Mus musculus: one gene and its partners. The protein of the gene in region 2 purifies or fractionates together with the protein of the main gene of each other region. This does not show direct contact. Links are inferred from orthologs where the notes say so. Each region holds a gene or a part of one and is shown on either strand. Other genes may lie near its edges.

What was found. The genes of interacting proteins can lie anywhere in the genome.
Region 1: the proteins of Bcap31 (region 2) and Vdac1 purify together in Homo sapiens (affinity purification with western blotting; 3 studies listed by BioGRID, with this or other methods). This does not show direct contact. The link is inferred for Mus musculus from reciprocal best matches to the Homo sapiens genes BCAP31 and VDAC1.
Region 3: the proteins of Bcap31 (region 2) and Cyb5a purify together in Homo sapiens (co-immunoprecipitation; 4 studies listed by BioGRID and IntAct, with this or other methods). This does not show direct contact. The link is inferred for Mus musculus from reciprocal best matches to the Homo sapiens genes BCAP31 and CYB5A.

Annotation. Positions count from the first base shown.
Region 1 is NC_000077.6:52,358,116-52,365,896, reverse strand, and holds the start of Vdac1 (voltage-dependent anion-selective channel protein 1), read right to left. Parts: upstream 5,047-7,781; 5' UTR 4,745-5,046; intron 4,301-4,744; exon of another isoform or gene 4,181-4,300; coding exon of another isoform or gene 3,938-4,180; intron 1-3,937. UniProt on the Homo sapiens protein: Non-selective voltage-gated ion channel that mediates the transport of anions and cations through the mitochondrion outer membrane and plasma membrane.
Region 2 is NC_000086.7:73,713,405-73,717,483, forward strand, and holds the start of Bcap31 (B-cell receptor-associated protein 31), read right to left. Parts: upstream 2,801-4,079; 5' UTR 2,714-2,800; intron 1,525-2,713; 5' UTR 1,481-1,524; coding exon 1,389-1,480; intron 1-1,388. Other genes in the region: Abcd1 (ATP-binding cassette sub-family D member 1), read left to right, coding at 3,627-4,079. UniProt on the Homo sapiens protein: Functions as a chaperone protein. Is one of the most abundant endoplasmic reticulum (ER) proteins.
Region 3 is NC_000084.6:84,848,603-84,856,383, reverse strand, and holds the start of Cyb5a (cytochrome b5), read right to left. Parts: upstream 5,047-7,781; 5' UTR 4,906-5,046; coding exon 4,777-4,905; intron 2,807-4,776; exon of another isoform or gene 1-2,806.

The sequences.
Region 1 (7,781 bases), on a different chromosome or scaffold from region 2:
CAGGGGCTCAAAATATTCTCTAACTCCAGTTAAAGGGGATCTGATGGACGCTTTCTTCTGGACTCTGTGGGTACTACATGAGCATGATATGCATACATATGTACAGGGAAAACCCTTATACATATAAAGAAATCAAGAGGTTGGGGGCTGGAGGGATGGCTCAGAGGTTAAGAGCAGTGACTGCTCTTCCAGAGGTCCTGAGTTCAACTCCCAGCAACCACATGGTGGCTCACAACCATTTGTAATGTATACAATTCCCTCTTCTGGTACGTCTAAAGGCAGCTACACTGTACTCATATACATAAAATGAATAAATATATCTAAAAATTAAAATAACAAATAAAAAAGAGGTCATGATAGATTACAGCAAAATCAACCACTTCTCCAACGCTAGGGACCAGGGGCAAAAATCAACCTCTCAGCAGAAAGCAGGCTCAGTTCAGGAGCTTCCCTGCACCACAGACAGACATAAACACAGGCACACACAGACACACACACATCTGGCAAGGCAGTGGCCTCTGCTCTGGAAGCAGGCTGAGTTCCCAAAGCAGCTGCCTTCCCCTCCCCCTCCACAGAGTCTCACAGGGGGACAGTCTGGCTTTCCAGGCTCTGCTTCTATTTTAAAACCCTCTGGAAGCTGGGCCACCAGCAGCAGCACAGCCTTCTATAAGGCTGGGGAGGCTGTGGTTGACTCAAGGCAACCTGCCTTCTCTCCCTCACCCACCTGTGGAGAGAAGGCCATGCAGGCAGCCAGCAGCACTCCAGGGTCTAGGGTCCAGCCAGGTACACCAGGGCTCCAGGATAGCCCAGGCACCACAAGGCATAGGGGGTTGACACAGTCAGCGCTTTTTTTAAGTGCTCAGCCTTGGGAATCAAGGACATATGGGTCTATATCCTACTCCCTTTCTAAGTAAAAGACCCCAAAGTCAGTCTCTCTGACCCAATTCCCCTTGGTATACATCCCTGCGGCTGGTACATGCAGAAGCCATGAAACAAACACAAGTAGAATTCTATTAAGATGACAGATGACAGGTCAACTTATCATCTGAGATGAGCAGACAAATAAATAATAAGTTTGGTTTCTTTGGTTGGTTGGTTCTTCGTTTTTCAAGACAGGGTTTCTCTGTGTAGCCCTGGCTGTCCTGAAACTCTGTAGACCAGGCTGGTCTCAAACTCACAGAGATCTGTCTGCCTCTGTGCCCTCCCCTTGCCCCACCCCGCCAAGTACCAGGATTAAAGGTGTGCACCACCAGCCAGTTTGGTTTGGCTTTGAAACAGGATCTAATGTAGCCCACAGTGAGTCTCAAACTCACTATGTCACGGAGGATGACCTTGAACTTGATCCTCCTGCCTCCACCTCTGAGTGTGTGCCCCACCTTACTGAGTTTCTGCAGTGTTGAAGGAAGAATCCAGGGCTTTCTGCATGCTGGGCTAGCATTCTACTAAGTCCCACACAAGCCAGTCCAATAGACAGTTTCCATTGCTATATTTATGGCTAGGGAATCTAACCAAGCTCTGGTCTTGTATATCTACTATTATAATAATGGTTTCTGAGCATCTTGTCAGAAGCTCACCCTGAACCACGGGGTCCAGAGTCCTTCCCACCCATAGAGAGGTATTGTTTAGCCGGATACTGTCTGGCCAGGTCCCGGAAGGACACCTCCTATCTCACCCCAGGGCAAATGATTTCTATGAGCACCGTCCACTACAGATGGCCCACAGCAGCTACCTCTCTCCTTTCCCAACCAGTTGGTAACTTCTGCTGTGCAGAGGCACTCACACCTATGGGTTCCTCAGAACACAGCAGCAGTGCAGTGTGGGGATACTAGCGGAGGACTGGTGCCCAAGCACCAAGTATACACAGCAGGGCCGCAGAACACCAGAATGGCCAGCACTGACAGTCACAGTTCTACTGCAGACCCAGGTGATCCCAAGGCCTGAGTGGAGACAGGAAGACCAGAAGTTGACCTCTGACCTCCACATGTGCTAGCCACCTCCAAACAATTAATTTTTTTAAAAACAGAAGCCAAAATCAATCAATCAATCAATCAATCAATCCACCACATTATAACAGAGGAACTAAGACACGAGAAAGCTATTTCACCTGAGCTAGACTCTGTGGCTCTTGTCAGATCAGAACTGAGAGCCCAGGCTGCCCTCTGGAGCTTTTTCTAGCTCAGCCCTAGGTAAAGTGCTCACATGCTGTGACTTAACTGCGGGATGGAGACCCACACCCAGGTCTAGCTAAGCATGCCTCTGCCATCCTTTCAGGTACCGAAGGAACCTGGGGAAAGCGCAAAGCTACAACGACAGTACAACCTTTCCGGAATCCTAGGGGCTCAGGTCCAGCATGAGGACCGCATGGCCCCAGACAGCCCCTGTCCAAAGCCTCATTCTAGAAACCAGAAATAAAGCGAATCAGCTGTGAGCTACTACAAGTGGGGACTGGCACCTTACTCGAGCTGTCATACCCCCACACCTGTCAGAAAGGGAAGAAGCTACAGGCCCCACAGCTTTGGCCAGAATCCCATCTACCCATATCACTCTCTAGCTTTAAGCCCAGAAACACCAGTTGGACAAGTTCCCCCAGGACTTGGGAAGTTGTAGAATGCTAAAGGAGCTGTTTCTCATCTCTCATGACTACTGCTGTAGGTGAGTATGTACGATTACAGCTCTTATGACATCTATGACTCGGCTAGGACAGGATAGCTTCTAGAAGTGAGTGAGCTGTCTAGGTCATCTAATGGCTGTTTTAAGATTCCACGATTGAATGTGCACCTACCATGCCTGGGTAGTTAAGAGTGGTATGAAAGAAAAAAAAATGGAGAGAGAGCTCAGGGGTTACAAGTGCTTACTGCTGTGGCTGGAGAGATGGCTCAATGGTTAAGAGCACTGACTGCTCTTCTGAAGGTCCTGAATTCAAATCCCAGCAACCACATGGTGGCTCATAGCCATCCATAATGAGATCTGACGCCCTCTTCTGGAGTGTCTGAAGACAGCTACAGTGTACTTACATAAAATAATAAATAAATCTTAAAAAAAAAAAAAAAAAAAAAAAGAGTGCTTACTGCTGACAGCCAGGGCTATACAGAGAAGCCCTGTCTCAAAAAAACAAAACAAAACAAAAACAAAACAAACAAAAAAGTGCTTACTGCTTTTGCAGAAGACCCAGGTTCGATTCCCAGACCCACATGAGGCATCTCACACCTGCATGTATGTACATAAACTCACATAGGCACAAGCATGCACACATTAAATAGACATTTTTTAAAAATGAATTTACCCCACAGACCTTTCTTAACCACCTAATGTGTGCCAAGTGGTCCCACCCAAGTCCCTGAAGACAAGCCTGAGTTTGGCCCTTCAGTTTTGTCAGTCCCGAGAAAAGCAGGCAGGCCCTCCGCAGTTATGCCTGGCTTGCTAGTAAACAAGCCGGAGTTAAGCCCCTCACCCATATCTCTGGTCAAGGAAAGAGAAGTTTTGGACAGCACACACCTGAGCTAAGCCCACACTCTTCCTGCATTCTGGGTCTGCAGTCAGATTTAGTGCTCCAGCCTGACAGCTGTCAATCTGCAAACTGACAGTGTCTCGTGAATTATTCTCCAATGACTCAATACCTGGTGCTGCACAAATGCTTGCTTCTGACATTAGTAATAATGGCATTAAAATAATACGCCTGTATATTCATGGAGTCCCTTCCTGTACACCATGTGGAATAAAAAATAAAATAAAATAAAAGTCTGTGGAGGATGAGTTCAACCCTCCCCAAAAGCTCCTAGGTCTCCTAGGCAAATGTCAAGGTTTCTAAGGTGTCCTTGTGCATGCCCCAAGGCTTCGTGTTAATCGGATCATTTTATTCTTTCCCCCAAACTCAGTGAAGTGTATATAATTGCTCCTATTTCGCAGATGAGAAGATTGAAGTTTTAAATCTTCCTACCAGTGTGACCTTGGACAAACCGTGTAGAGTTGCGGGCCTCCAATCTGATGTCAGGCCCTGAAAACAGTTTCCAGAATGCACAGTTGCATTTGGCGACACAGAACACGGACTCCGTCCCCGAGGCCAAGGAGGCCAAGCGTATGGCTCCCTATGGGGTCTCGCTCTCAGTCCAGGCCCAGGTCCCTGTTCCTGCGGCCTAAGTCCACTCAGGGCAGCCCGTTCCGCCCGGGAAGACACTGGCATGCGCGGGAGGGACCCGGCGCCACCTACTCCGGGCGTGGGCCGGCTAGGGCGTGTAGGGGCTGGGGGATCCAGGGCATGGCCGTGCCTGGAGTTCGTCCTCTCGGCGGAGGAAGCTGGGTCTGCACAGGCCCTTGGAGCTGGTGGGGAAGGGCTTGGGCCGTGGGAGGGTCTCTACCAGATCCACACCGACGGGATCTAGAGCCAGAGGGCGCCGCCGGGAAGGTCACCTAGACCCGCGGCCCGCCGGGCCTCCACGCGGCCGCCCTTGCCCTTCCGCTCCTCGCATGTTCGAACCGCCCCTGGCTTCCAAATGCAGGTGCTCTGAACGCTCGAGCTAGAATCTGGGAGATCCGCTCTGCGCCCGCCCTCCAGGCCTCCTCTACAAGCCCGCTGCCCCTCCAGGCCCGCAATGATCGTCCCTGGTTCACCCTTCCCGGGGCCAAGCGCTTAGGCCCAGCGCCCTCGCCCGAACCTCCCTCGATCGCCTCCCTGGAGACTTCCCAGGAGCGCGACCCGAGGCCCTGGGGACTCAGGCATAGCCCAGGCCCTCTCCGCTGCGCCTACCTCGGAGGCGGTGACGGCGGGAGCAGCGGCAGCTACGGCGGGGGTTGCGGCGAGGAGGCTGGGAGCGCAGCGAACGGGCCGAGGGCGGAGCGGCGCAGATCGCGGCGGCGCGGACACGCCCCAGCTCTGCGCGCCGGACCCCGAAGCTCCGCCCTCGGCTCCACCCCGGACAGCGCCCAGACCAGTCTCGGGGTCTTCTTCCCACTCGCGAGCCGCGCTCTCGCCCTCTGCGGCTCTGTGATCATGTGTGGCCGCGCGTAAAGGCCTGCGTGCACTCTGGCACGGGGCGATAGGGAGGCGTGGGTCTGACGTGCGTGAGGTGTGTGCGTGCGCGGGGACACGCGGGTCACTGTTGCAGCCTCCAGGCTGCTGGAAGCATTTGGGAAGAGGGGGAGGGGAGCTTCCGGCACACAGAGCGGTGGCCTAGGGACCTCAGCGGATAGTGTCGCCGGAGTCGCCGAGGCTGCAAGTCACTCGGAGGCCCAGTGGGGACACTGGGCTCTGGAAGTGGCGCTGTATAGGTCAGAGCGGCTACTGTCCCCTCTGCTCCAACCTTGATTTCCGGAGCCTGCGACACGCCCGCGTGCGTCAGCGAGTCAGTTGCAAATTAAACTCTCCCGAGAGCCGGCTCCGCACTGTAAAGTTGCGTGCAATCTTCCCTAGTGTCAAAGCCTCTTTCCGCCATTTCCCAAGCATTTAAGAAATTAAAAAAGACAAAGTGGGTTTGTGAGACTGCGGAGTCTCGCTACGTGAGGTCACGCGGGTTCTGGATGTCTGCTTTCCTGCAGTGTAGAGAGGGCGGACACTTTTTCCCAGCCTGGTCTCAGCACGTGGCCTCCTGCCCTGTTGAGCGTGCCACACCAAGACTAACCAAATCAGGTTTGGAGAGTTTGTGAAATCACATGTGAGTGAAGACTTCACACCCTTTGCCTTCTACTAACAGACGTCCGAGGAGAATTCAGGCATTTGGGGTCCAGTAGAGGAGACGCCAGGTGGTTGCTCACAACCTGCTGTAGCTGAACAAGACAGCTGGGCATCCGCAGCCACTCTAGATTGAAAATGCTGTTCCGTGGGCTAAAGGAAGGGAACCAAGAGAGAGAGAGGCCGAGGAGAGGGAATGTAAGGGGGCCTAAGCCCATATCTAGTTAAGACTATGAGGGAAAGCCCTTCGAAATAGAATGTGGGCAAACAGATAGCTCCGTGGTACAGGGCTTGCTTTGCATTAGAAAGAACCTGTTCCCAAGTCTGCAGCTCTATCTACCCGGCAACAAACACCCAGCCCATTCCCGGAGTTAAAGCCAGGCAGGGAAAGCTGCTGAGTCACAGGGGCGTACAGGGAGGCAGAGTCGGAAGGACAAGACCTGGGGACACAAGATTTGTCTCCAAGAATCTTAACACTTGACCCAGAGCCCTGATGCCCAGGGCTGTGTGTCGTGGGTGGGCAGAAAGTCTGGCTTCTCGGAACTTCGCCCTGAGAGTCTTTCTTGGTTTTTTTTTTTGTTTTGTTTTATTTTTTGGGTTTTTTTTTTGTTTTTGTTTTTTGTTTGTTTGTTTGTTTGTTTTTTCCCGAGACAGGGTTTCTCTGTATAGCCTTGGCTGTCCTGGAACTAACACTGTAGACCAGGCCGGCCTCGAACTCAGAAATCCGCCTGCCTCTGCCTCCCAAGTGCTGGGATTAAAGGCGGTGTGCGCCACCTCCGTTCAGCGCCCTGGGAGTCTTGGTTTTAATTTAAAATGAATGGAGATGCAGAGGACTGGTAAGGCACTTACCTAAAACTCAGCGAGTGGCTTGTGTCACTTTTGCTGGGGAGACAGACAGCTATTTGCGGTAGAGAAGGCACAGATGACAGATTAAAGAATTCCACCCAAAGTCTACGTCGGCAAACCAGGGAAAGTGTTTAATTTATTTACAAGGTAACTCAAGGTAACTAAAAAGATCACCCCAAAGGCCCCCAACTAACAAACCTGCATGCATCCCTGGACCAATGCATGACTTATCAGCAGCTCAAGAGTTCCCTCTCCAGCAACTGTTGACTAGAGGGACCTCGTGAGTCCGATAGCTGGACTTCCCAAGCCATGTATGTTTTGGGTTTTGTTTGTTTGTTTGTTTGTTTGTTTTTAACTTTCTAGTGCTGAGGACTGAACCTGACTTTTATGAATCTCTTTCCTTCCAGAAGGGAAGGTTTTAAATCCAAAGAATTAGCCACACAAGAAAGGCAAAGAAAATCAGCCAGAATAGGGAGGAGACCTGGGAGCCCCTGGGATTGAAATCCAAGTGCACCAGAAATGTTATTCATTGATCTTTCTTCCCAGTCACAGCCTGCAGGGAGGGGAAAAGCAAGTCACCTTTTTTTTTTTTTTTTTAAACTGGACTCTGCCCAGCCTCCCCTCTACGGAGTCTGCCAAAGCTGATTGGCCTGAGACAGAAAACCTGATCCAAGCCTGGCCAGTCGGGTTCTTACTTGCAGATTCAAATTAAGAAATCCAGAAGCTTTAGGGAAACAGCAGGATGTCCTGAGTCTGCCAACTCCTCCGGCAGGCTTGCATCTCTGTTGGCCCAGAAAAGCAAGCAGAACACTGTGCAGTTGCAAGACGCTTTGAGCTCATTTCCTCATGGATCCCCCTCCTGAGTTTGGGGTCCCCAGAGCTACTTCAGTTCCATGTGAGTCCAGAGATGTCTTGTTGACTTGTGGGGATGGGCCAGTCCTGACCATAGTCCTGTTGGGGGTAAGTGACCCTATGTCACTTTTGTCCTGACCATAGGTCTGTTGGGATAAGTGACCCTATTTCACTTTTGTCTCATGCACAGGCTTCGTTGGAGTTGGAGCTGACAAGTGACAGAGTCCTCCTGCTCTCTTTCCCCTGACTCTGGGGAGGAATCACTGAGACCCTGGAGTTCTCTAGCTGTGAAAATAGACTAAAACTGACGCTAGGGTTAAGATTAGCTGTGCAGCTAGTGTGCACCTGCATCTGGCCTCTCCTGCTGTTTGCCAGCTACCTGAGTAATGGGTTGCTTGCTTGCTTGCTTTCCTTCTTT
Region 2 (4,079 bases):
ACCAGGCTGGCCTCGAACTCAGAAATCCGCCTGCCTCTGCCTCCCGAGTGCTGGGATTAAAGGCGTGCGCCACCACGCCCGGCTTTTAAGTTGGTCTTAATCAGTCTCTCCTTCCTGCTTTTTTTTCCTTTCAATTTTTCTGTGTGTTTGTACCTGTGCATATGCATGAGTGTGTGGGCTTGAAGTGGTTATCTTCTCTAATCATTCTCTACTTTCTTTTTTTCCCAGTGGTCTCACTGAACCTAGAACTTACTGATTCAGCTAGACTGGCTAGGATCCTCCTTATCTTTGCCTCTACCACACTCTATTACAGAAGTGTGTTCCTATGTCCAGATTTTACATCAATGATAGAGATCAAACTCAGATTTTGAATTTATACTTGTTCAAGCAACCATTTTACTTACAGAGCCATTTCCGTAATCCTTTTCCTTTTCATACCAGGTCTCATTTAGCTCAAGCTAACCTCAAATTTGCTATGTAGCCAAGATAGGTCTTGAACTCCTAACCCTGCCTTCACCTCCTAAGTGGTGGAACAAAGTTAGTTGTCCTAGAGAGTATCCAAGACTCCAGTTCCACCAGCGTTTTGGTCACTGTATTTCCTGTGAACTAAATGTCAATGTGGGTTTTAGCAAGAATATTCCTTAGGTATTATTAACTATGGCAATTTTATAAATCCTAATTTAAATACGAATAGTGTTGATATACTACAAATGATTGAAACAATATCTAAATAACGTTTAGCAAATCCTGGTTTTTTGGGTTGTTTTTTGTTTTTCGAGACAGGGTTTCTCTGTGTAGCTCTGGCTGTCCTGGAACTCACTCTGTAGACCAGGCTGGCCTCAAACTCAGAAATCCACTACCTCTGCGTCCCAAGTGCTGGGACTAAAGGCGTACGCCACCACGCCCAGCCTGTTTTTTATTAAAAGGGACTATAGCTTCCATCCTTCATAGGCTGAGTAATGCTCATGAGCCTACTAAGCAATGCCAGTAGGAGTTAGCTAGGAGGTCAAAAGTCAGCAAATCGGCAACAATGTAAGCCAATGGTGCAAGTATTCAAGTTTCCACACAATTATCCCCTACAGCCCTGAGGCCCAAGGGTTGGCAAGAGAATATTACTCAAAAAAGTTGAAGTCAAATCTTCTTTTGCAAAAACCAGAAGACAGTGTGCACAGGAAAGCAAATGACGAGGTGACAAAGCCAGACAATGTTCAAGATTGGTGATAAGAAAAAAAAAATCATACTCCTGACACCCTTACTCAAGACAGGTTTTACTTGTTTCCATATAGCCTCAATTTCAGGGTCCACCAATTTTGCACACAGAAACTACAAGGTTCAGGGTTTGATAGCACCCTCATCATATGCTTGCTTTGTTGTTCCACTAGCCATACCTTTTTGGAGAAATGAAGGGAATGCAGAGAAGCAACACAGCAAAGACCTCTGCGTAGAGGAAGGTGGCAACTGTAGTCCACTGCAAACTCATCCTGTGACTTAAAGGGTTCCAACAGAGGGATGGGAGCTTGTTTCCTGGCAGGATACAGAAGAAACAGGAGGAACCATGAGAGCTGGAAAGTCACTGACAGGGACTGCTCAGGGACCCTGGAGAGGCTGGGGCTGCTATTCTTCACAACAGACCACAGGATTCTGCTTCAGAGCTTTTGAAACCCTGGTTGAAACAGGGTTTAACCCAACAGCAGACACTTGACCAATGATTCTAGCCAGCCAACAAACTTCCCTTGCCTGGGACAGTTACTTGTGCCCCTCCAGCAAGTATGTTACTATGACTAGGTACTTTTGTTCATGATTCCTTTCCCCGGGGCCGTCCAAGAGACTCTTAAGCCTGTTTAACTAAGAAAATGTTTCTCATAAGAATAGGAGAACCTTCTCAGCACCCATCAGGCTCCCTTGTAAGGCTAGACCTGTTTAAGAAAATGTTTCTCAAAAGAACAGTACGTAAACAGAAGGACCTCAGCACCCATTAGGCTTCCTTCCAAGAGTAGAAGCCTCTGCTGCCAGGAGCTATACATGTCTTCCAGTCGCTTCTACAGTGGGACTGGGACTGCAGTGTTCATACATGTATTTTCTGCAAACGCCACCACCTAAGCCTCTGCACAAGAAAGCAGGCCCATTTCCTCCAGAGCTTATGAGGGGCTGATAACCCTAGTAGCCTCCAGCCTCCTTCTAAAGCTGCTTTTGAAAACTAGATAGGCCTTCCGAATGCTCGCACGAATGCACAGGGTGTAGGCCTCCATTTACTCTCAAAAGGCCCACAAGAGCGACTCCTAGAGGGCGGGAATCCAGGCCAAAAGCAAATACAGGTCTCCACAGAGCACGTCCAGGCCTTACCCAGAGAAAGTTCCAGAACCAGAAAGTCTCTCCCGAAGCCAAAAAAGGGACCTCCCTGCATCCCTAGCAAGCCACAACGCCCAAGTCCACAGCGCCAGGTGGCTTTCGAGGAGCTGGGCCTACCTGGGCAGCTCTTCTGGGGGGGGGTGGGGAGGACTGGCCCCTGTCCTCGCGTCCCCTAGAGTCCCGCTCCACCTACCTCCACAACATCCCTATGCCTGATCCTGCCCTAAACTCCGAAGTCGGCCCGGATCCCTACACTTCCCAGAACCCACAGTATTTCTGGGATGCTCGCCTTCCTCCCTCATGAAGGGACTGGGGGGGAACCTCGTTGGTCCGAAAGTCAGCCATGCATGCGGACCCAGCTTACCGAGCTTCAGCCTACTCGCACGCCCCACCGCAACTACCAAACTCTCACCAATGCTCAGGCCCGCCCCCTAGCCCGCGGGCGGAAACCGGAAACGCGCGTCAGGCCCCGCCTACAAGTCCTCTAGAGGCCCCTAACGGCTCCGCCCATTGTCGTTTCCCGCCCCGCCCTTAGGCGCGGCCTGTTGCCAAGGTCTAGAAAGGAAGTAGAGGCTGACGGTTGAAGGCCCCCTGCCGCGCCTCTGACACTTCGGACACGCAGGGGTGGAGCTTGGAGGCGCCTTGGCGGGAGGGCTGGGGCCGCTTCTGTAGTGTACGCGGACTTGCTTCGTTTCTGTTGTCGGAGAGGGGGAGGGGTCCAACGGTAGGGCGAGAACGGGGTGGGGCACCCCTAACTCGGACTCCGCCTCTTGCCTCAACTCCGCCTCCTCTTCCCCATCACCACCCCTGGGGAGGGGTAGGTGGGTGGGGATTCTGGGCCTTGGCGTAGACGCTGTCGTTACTGCCGGGCTGCTCAGCGGACAAACACGCCTGGTGCCCCGGGGAGGGGCGTCACGGGGGGTGGGGGGGGAGGAGCAGTAAGAGGAGGGAGGTGGAAGGAAAGACACAGCCTCTCTCCTTAAGACCTCTCGAGGCTCTGACCTCAGGGGCTAAGGGGACAGTCTGTAGAGGGAAGCCAGTTCCTCCACCCGGGCTGCCTGAAGAGGCCACGACCCTGGAGGATTCTAACCCAACCGATCCAGGGGCCCCAGCACCACCGCGAGGGCCTAAAGCAACAGTCTCAGGGATCACTTCAAGGTTTCCAGTTGCCTAGACAACGAGCCCTGGGTCAGAGCAACAACCCTTCCAGGATCTGTCTGCAACTGTAGCCTCAGGCAGCAGTTCCAGCCCTCAGCCTGCTCACCAGTCCAGGTGACATGCCGGTGCTCTCCACTCCCCGGCCCTCACGGGTGACCACGCTGAAGCGCACAGCTGTGGTCCTGGCCCTCACAGCCTATGGAGTCCACAAAATCTACCCTCTAGTACGGCAGTGTCTGACTCCTGCCAGAGGTCCTCAGGTGCCAGCTGGGGAGCCCACTCAAGAGGCCTCTGGAGCCACCGCAACCAAGGCTGGCATGAACCGGGTATTCCTGCAGCGGCTCTTGGCGCTCCTGAGGCTGCTGTTCCCCCGAGTCTTGTGCCGGGAAACAGGGCTGCTGGCCCTGCATTCTGCTGCCCTGGTAAGCCGAACTTTCCTGTCTGTGTATGTTGCCCGCCTGGACGGCAGACTGGCCCGCTGCATTGTACGTAAGGACCCGCGGGCCTTTAGCTGGCAACTGCTGCAGTGGCTCCTCATCGCCCTTCCTGCCACTTTCATCAACAGTGCCATC
Region 3 (7,781 bases), on a different chromosome or scaffold from region 2:
CAAATCTCAAGGAGTGGGCTGTAGCACACTGGCTTATCAGGCGTGCTCAAGGCCCAAGTTCAATCTCCAGGACAAAACGAAACAAAGAAAACAACTTTTAATTGTCTGAACACCTTCTCTTTCCATGTTGTTCTAAGTGTTTTTCACATGTATTATTTTTCCCAATGTTCTACACCAGAGCCAGTCATGTTCCCATGGATGGAGGAGGGCCAGTTACTCAGATTCTGTTACACAAGAGGTCCTGTGGGTTGTCTCCAAGGTTTTAGAGTCTTTGAGAATAATAGACATCCACACTAAGTAGTGATTAGCCTCTTACCTATTCCCTATTTGCTCTGGCTGACCTGCCTGCATAACCTGTTTTACTTCCTTATTTACAAAATTTTCATCACCTTAAAGACAAACAGAGTCAGGTGCCTCAATTGTGATCTGATGCCTTAATTTTGTTTTGGATTTTACTGTGTTAAAACAAAACGGGAATCTCTTTTCAGAAAAGGAACACCTTCCCCAACAGTAGAACTGCTTAAAAGATACTTAGGTGCAGCCTTACAAGATATGGCTTTTCTACCTATTTATCCAGGATACCTAAGTCACCACCCAAAACACATCATTACGTAATAGAATTTCACTTTACACGCATTAAAGGAAGGTACACGGGGCCGCACCAAAGAGTAGAGACCTATGCCCTTCCATTTCTCAGAAACACAGGTGGACATCTTAAATGTCTCAGGGAGACAGTGGTCCTCAGACTCTGAATTCTTCATCTGTGAAAGGTAAGCAGCCACAAAAAGCAAAACTTCATTCGTCAAGACCCCAAAAAGGCTAAGTGAGTCAGAAGCTAACAGCCTCTGCAAGGCGGGATGCTTTCAATGAATATTCAAGACTTGCTTTAAAAATCGCAGAATCTCAGCATCACTAGGAAAACATTGTGTGGGGAGCACAGACAACTTGCCTTCAACGCGGCCTAGGAGATGTTACGGGCACCCACTGCCCAGAACGGAAAGGCAACAGGAGTCTTACCCGATGCTCTCTTCCTCCCTTCCACAGCTCTGCTTAAACCTGGCTCAACCACAGAACAGGGAAATGCAAACTTGCTCCTTGGCCCTTAACACCTGTTTTCATTCCAAATAATGGTCTCTCGGATTTCTATCATCACTAACCTGTCTAATGCCATGATCTTATATAACAAGACTCAATTTCATAAATGTAAACTCAAAACCTAGGGGGCAGGACTAGGGGGAAAAAAAAGGTTCAAAATATCTAGGCAATGAGGCTTATAATCCTGTGGGCAGACGCCAGCTCGGGACCCAAGCCCTGCTGCTGTTTAGATGGCCTCCCTGTGGGATTCCCACCTCTGGACCTCAGATCATTATTTCCGGAAGACAGAGTTCACATTGCACAAGTGACCTTCAAACTGTGTTCGTGACTAGAAAGATAATTTTTCTACTATTCTCCTATTTCACGATCACCTTCCGGAGTTACATCTCACCTAAAGCACACCCCAAACACCCAACTACACAGGACACCGCAGAGGGGGAACCACAGCTCAAGTCTGGCCGCGGCTGCAGTTTCCAAATGAGCAGGGAAACTCATCCTGGTTTGTGTTAAAAAAAAAAACACTCTTTTTTTTTTTTCCTAGTTGTGGTTTCTGGAGAGATTCTCATGGTCACCCAGGCTGGCCTCTCTAATTCTTGGGAACTCTCCTGCCTGAGATTACAGGCATGCATGCACACTACACTAGTCAATGCTTTAAATCACTGTCAGCTGCAATCAGACACTGCTTGTCTCTCCTTTACCTGTGAGGAATCTAAGGCACAGAGAAGGCAGGCAGCAGAGCAGGAGCAGCCAACCACAGCACGTGCTCCCTCAACAGAAAAGCAGAGCCACGAGGATGGGTGAATCCAGAGCCTGTGGAGACACAGCTCATGGTGACAGAAAATTCCAGAAAGGGAAGAAGGATGCTCCTCCCACTTTTTTCATTTGTAAATTAGCAAAACATATTCTTCAGCTCACGGGCCTCGTGAAATTTCTGGAACCTTGAGATGTAGAAGGAAAGGAAGTCAGGAAAAGTAGGACACTCTGACCCTTGTAAAAAATATTTCTGTTTTAAGCCAAAGCATGAGACAAACCATGTAGACCTAACAACATAGTTGAAACTGAAGGAATCTAGAAAGAAGAACAACTGTGGCAGTATGTTTGAGGTGTGTGTGGAAGTGGTAACCCAAACAGGAACAAGCAGTCATGTTCAGTGCCTGCCGGTGCCCAGAGATCCTAAAGGCAATGCCACACTAGGGAAGGAAAGCCAATGACCAAGACTGTGTGAAACAAGCAGTAGTACATAAGTACATAAGTAGTACAGCAAGCTACGAAATGTCAAGTGTCAACACCAGGCAGAGTCTGAATATACCCAGAAGCCTGATGATCCCAGAATTGCTCCATCCAACATGGTGAGACATTCACACACAGTGAGAGCAGGGGTAAGAAAAGCAGGAAGGGGTCTTGGTCCCTCTAACCCTTAAGGTCAACAGGACCCAACCATTCTCTGTGCTTCTCAAAGACTCTGACCTCTCCATCAACGTCCTAGAAGACTGGTTCCCAGGGAGCCTCTCCATTTTGCTCAAGAAGTGTTCTTCCCAAGTTATCCTCAGAGACAGGGTACCAAAAACTTAGCCAGAGCAAAGGAACTTTCTTTCCAGCTTTTTTTTCCTACAGAGCAGCTTCTTGTTAGCCTTTCAGCTGAGCTCAATAAGTCTGTGGGGTCCTCTCCCCACTCCTTCCCTGCCTCATGAGAATAAATTAAGAGAATCAATGACTGAGTATAATTTAATAATCTCATCCCTGTTACCTACTTCAAAGATCTACTTTTTAAAGTCATACACAATTATTTTGGGGGCAGCAATTCTCTATCAGGAGCAACTGTATGTCCTGTGGGACATTTGGCGGTATCTGGAGACAGTGCTGGTTGTCACTGTTAGGACATCCACTGAATACAGGACAGGGAGGCAACCTAAAAAGTCAACAGTCCCGAGGTCTAGGGACCTGTCTGAAAGGACAACGAGACAAGTTAAAACAGCTGCATCGTATAAATTATCTCAACGTTTTGTCTTTTTCTTTTTACAAGTGCTGCACTTTATTATATACACAAAGTCAAGGGACGAATTTTATCATAAAATTTAAGAATTACATATATCATGGTGGTGGGGCGGGGGGGGGGGGGGGGGACAATTCCACGTGAAGTCATTCACCTGGCCCTTGGCTTAACAATACAGAACAGAACAAGCCGGGCATGGTGGCGCACACCTTTAATCCCAGCACTTGGGAGGCAGAGGCAGGCGGATTTCTGAGGCCAGCCTGGTCTACAAAGTGAGTTCCAGGACAGCCAGGGCTATACAGAGAAACCCTGTCTCGAAAAAACAAAAACAAAACAAACAAACAAACAAAATGCAAAACAATACAGGACTGTTAGTTTGAGAAGCTAGGATGCAAACCTGCTCTGGGCTCAGCAGAACAGAGGCAGATCTGAGCCCACACTGCAAGCCACTCCTTACTAAACTGGAGCCCTATTTTACCGTTAACAGTCAAGTATTTTAGCATGAAACTAAAACTCCAAACTTTCAGTTTTTTCTGTATTTAACATTCTCTGCAAAGCAGATGTCCCTTGAGGTAAATTATAATCTAACACTGACCCTGGACTTCTGCCCAGCCCACCACCAAACAAACAAACATGCAAACCACCCTCATCAATAAGCACTCTTATTTACTGGAAAGAAGTGGGGTGCAGAGTCCTTGTGAGTGTGTGTGACCCAAAGTAACAGTGCATCTGGAAGGAATAAAGAGAAAGACTACAAACAAAACGCCCCTTGGGCTGGGCAGCAAGAACTACAATCTTGAGATCAGCATTGCCAGAGGAAATGTTTTCCTCTAAATTAAGCCATTTTTACAACTTCCGAAGTAGCCTAAAGATTTAGTTCCAGTTTTCTGACTGTACCATGCTGCCTACCTCCCTTCCTTAGTATGAGCTCAAGGCACACACTAGGGAGTCTTTGGGTCACTCACCTGGTGCTGGGGCTCTGAGACAAGTCACTAATCCATTAAGGTCGACATCCTTCAGGCTCTGCTTAGTGAACACTAGTAAATTTATGGGTCTGGGCATCAAAGTAGCCCTGGGAGTGCCCCCCCCCACACACACACACACACTCCTGCGACCCTAAGGAACCCTCTGGGGGAAATAGCTTTTAAGACCAGAGGTCTCCAAACCGCTGATACTAAAAGTCCATTCGAAAATGGAGGAGCTCTACATGGAAAGAGCCTTATACGAAAGCAAAAGAAAGGAAGAAAGAAAGAAAGAAAGAAAGGAAAAAAAAAAGGTTCTTTCAAAATCCTTACGCGGTTATGCACTCTCCCAGCAAGTGGGTAGCATTTATTCAAGACACTCCTGAGCATCTCGCAGGGATCCAGCTTTGGCCTGCAAATACTCCGCCCATCGAAGCCTACAAAAACAGCCCACACCGCAAAGATGCTTCCCTACCTCCCATGGGCATGCCCAGATGTGCCAACCCAAGGCACTCAGGAGCACAGATACAGGTGTGCACAAGCAGGTGAGCATGCTCAGAAGCGAACACAAGTGTGCAGACGCGGAAGGCCCTCTTCTTAAATGTTCTCAAACACTTGAGCACCCGATAACGCATTTTCGGACATCGGTCCCAGGTCACACCGGGGGTATCCACAGCCGGGACCACCCTTTCCTGTGTCCCATTGGAGCGTGCGTGCCCATCTCACCTCTTCGAGAAACTTGGTCAGATCGTACACCTTATGATGCAGGATCACCCAGGTGCTCTTGCTGTCTTTGTGCTTCTGAATCTCTTCCAGGGTGTAGTACTTCACATCCTTGTCTGACTGCCCGGCCATCTCGGAACAGTGAGTCTACCGGGCCCTGCAACACAGCCGTGCAGGGTTGTGCTATGATCAGGTCTGAGCGCCTCCGCCCGGGACATTCCCAGCTCCACCGGGCCCTGTGCCCAGAACCAGGAGAGGGCGGTGCCTCAAACTGGGCACAGACCACAAGGCCTCTTGGGATTGGCCAGTGTGGTGCTCCCGCCCTCAGCCGACGCCCTCCAATAGTCCAATCATTCCCCACCACAGCCCGGCGCGTGGTGTTGATTAGCTACAAGAGGTGCCTTTCACTTTTACCCCAAGCCAGCCCTTTGGGTGGGGAGGCGGTTTTCTGAGTCTGCGCATGTAGCAGCCAGTGGGGGTGGGTGGGTGGGTGGGAGGGAGCTGGGGAAGTGTGATCAGAGGTCTCAGCGCCCAAGTAAAGAGGAAGCTTTAGGGCCAGGTCAAACTCCATCTCAACCTTAGTTTCCTTCCCTTACACCCTACTTCACATTAACTCTTGCGTATTTCCTAAACCAAGCGGCCCTACATCCTGATAATCGCTTGGAATAAATTGCAGTGAGCCAAAGTGACCCTCTGCGTGGTTTCCCTTCAGAACGGACCATTTGAAAGAACCTCTTATGCAAGTGTCACGGCTTAAGATCTGGAAATAAATGTGTGGCCCCAAATAATGCGCCATGCCGTTTGCTTCACTGGAATCTGCAGGGGATTGGGAGTGGCTCATCCAACAGGCAAACAAAGGAAATTGTTACATTAAAATTAGAAGCATCTAATAATTTCTTTAACCTGAAATAACTTCCGTGCCACAAGGCCCTGACATGGCAAAGACTTTCTCTTATCCTCCACTGTAGTGTAAATTTAAATCCTAAATAAGGACCAACACTGGGCGCAGCGCAGCACTGAGTCCCTCCCCAGGCTGGCACTCCCCTACCCTTTTGTCTGGAAGTCAATACTATATATAAATTACAGATATCTAAAGCAGGGGTGGGGGAAAACAGAAGACAACTTATTTACTTATTTTAAAAGCCCTTCGTAGTTTGTTTGTTTGTTTGTTTTGTTTTTTGGTCTTTTCAACAACGGCAATTAACTCCAAAAACATAGCATTAGTGATGGGCACATCAGTGATTCTCCCAGGAAATCAGGAAGGTCCTAAACTCTGCAGGTGCTTGGAAATGCCTAAGTTCCCTTTCCCTTAGCTGCTCATTGGCAAGTAAGCATTGCTCAAAGCATCCAAACTATTTTTACTGTTTTTTTTCTTTTTTTTCTTTTTAACCACAAGGAACCATTTCTGGTTGTAATTGTTACTCAGAAATATTTCTAAGGTAAATTCTTTGTATTAAGATACTAATCAGTTTGGTTCACATACAACATATGAATATTTTATTTTACATCAACCAACTAAAATATAATGTAGGAACAATATCCAAGAAGTTCAATGGGGCTTTGTGGGGGTTGGATGGAGACAGAGTTTCTCTGTGTAGCCAGGCTGCCCTAGAACTCACTGTGTAGACCAGGCTGGCCTTGAACTCCAGAGATCTGCTTCCCTTTAATTTTAAAGCATAGTTTCATGGAAAGTTACAAATGTGGAACAGATGTGTCATCTTTCTCTGCATCCCTCACCCAGTTCCCCCAATGACCACATATTAATGTAACTACGAAGTACCAAAACAAGGCAGCTCATACCTGCAAAAACAGCACCCTAGAGACAAAGACAGGCAGATGGCAAGTTAGAAGCCAGCCTGGGTCTACCTAGTAAGCTCCATGTCTACCTTAGTTATATAGCAAGACCTTGTTATGAAGAGAGGGAACAAAAGAAATCCACACCAATACAGCAAGGTTCCCTCGAGTTTTAAGACTGGTGTATGTGGTGTATGGGGTGCCTCCGTATACCCCAGCATAACTGCTCTGTCACGAGCTCTAGCTGGCACTGTCTTCCTGAACTACACTCACTCCCTCCTGTATTATCCTTAACACCTGGTGATAAGTAATCTGTCTCATCCCTGTACTATTTTGTCACCATATTATATAAATGGAATCATACAATAACACAATTGAGGTCAGCTTTCTCACTTGTTCTATTGTCCTTGAAATCCATCCCGGATGTGAACTGTATCAATAGTGATTTCGCTGTCTTCACTGAGGAGCGGCATAACCGTCCTGGTGGGAGCCAAGAGATTGCTGAGGCGTTGTCCCCCCAGATTGGAATTTCCATAGACTCTCATGCTGGGAGAAGGAAAGGGCTCAAGTCTGGTGTCAGCCAGAAAAGGAACTTGTCTCCCAGGAAGAGGACTTCACACAGTTGTGACAAGTTGTCAAAGCCCATTGAAGGGAGACAGGAGCTGAGATGGGCCAGTGACTAGGCTTAGCCAGAACTGCTTAGTCATGCTTAACTTTTACCTCCTGTCAGACGGAAAAAAAAAAAATGAGCTGCGGCAGGGGGGAGGAGGTGGCTAGCACTCTTTATTTGCCCTTCCTAATGTTCTTTGCCATTCAGTAGTACTGTTTGTTGTTGGTCTGTTGGGGAATATTGACTGAGCCTGGCTTGTTTGGGCTGCCAGGGCCCAGGCTTTGACCACAGCAGCTCCAATCATCTTTCACTGTGTGGTTGTGACATGTCACAGCAGCTTATGTTCAAACCCACTGCTTGAGGAACGTTTTTGGAGATTTCCAGCTTTTGATTAACTATGGAAAAGTTGTTATGAGCAAATGTATACGAGTTTTGTGTGAATGTAACATTTTACCTTTCCATGCCAGGGACAGTGGCTGTTGGGAAATACAAGTATCTGAATAATCAGTTTGTTAGAAACTGCTAAGTCATCTTCCATGCCACATGACTACAGCAATGCCTGAGAGACCCAGCTTCTCAAAATGCTCGCCAGCCTTGTCATTAT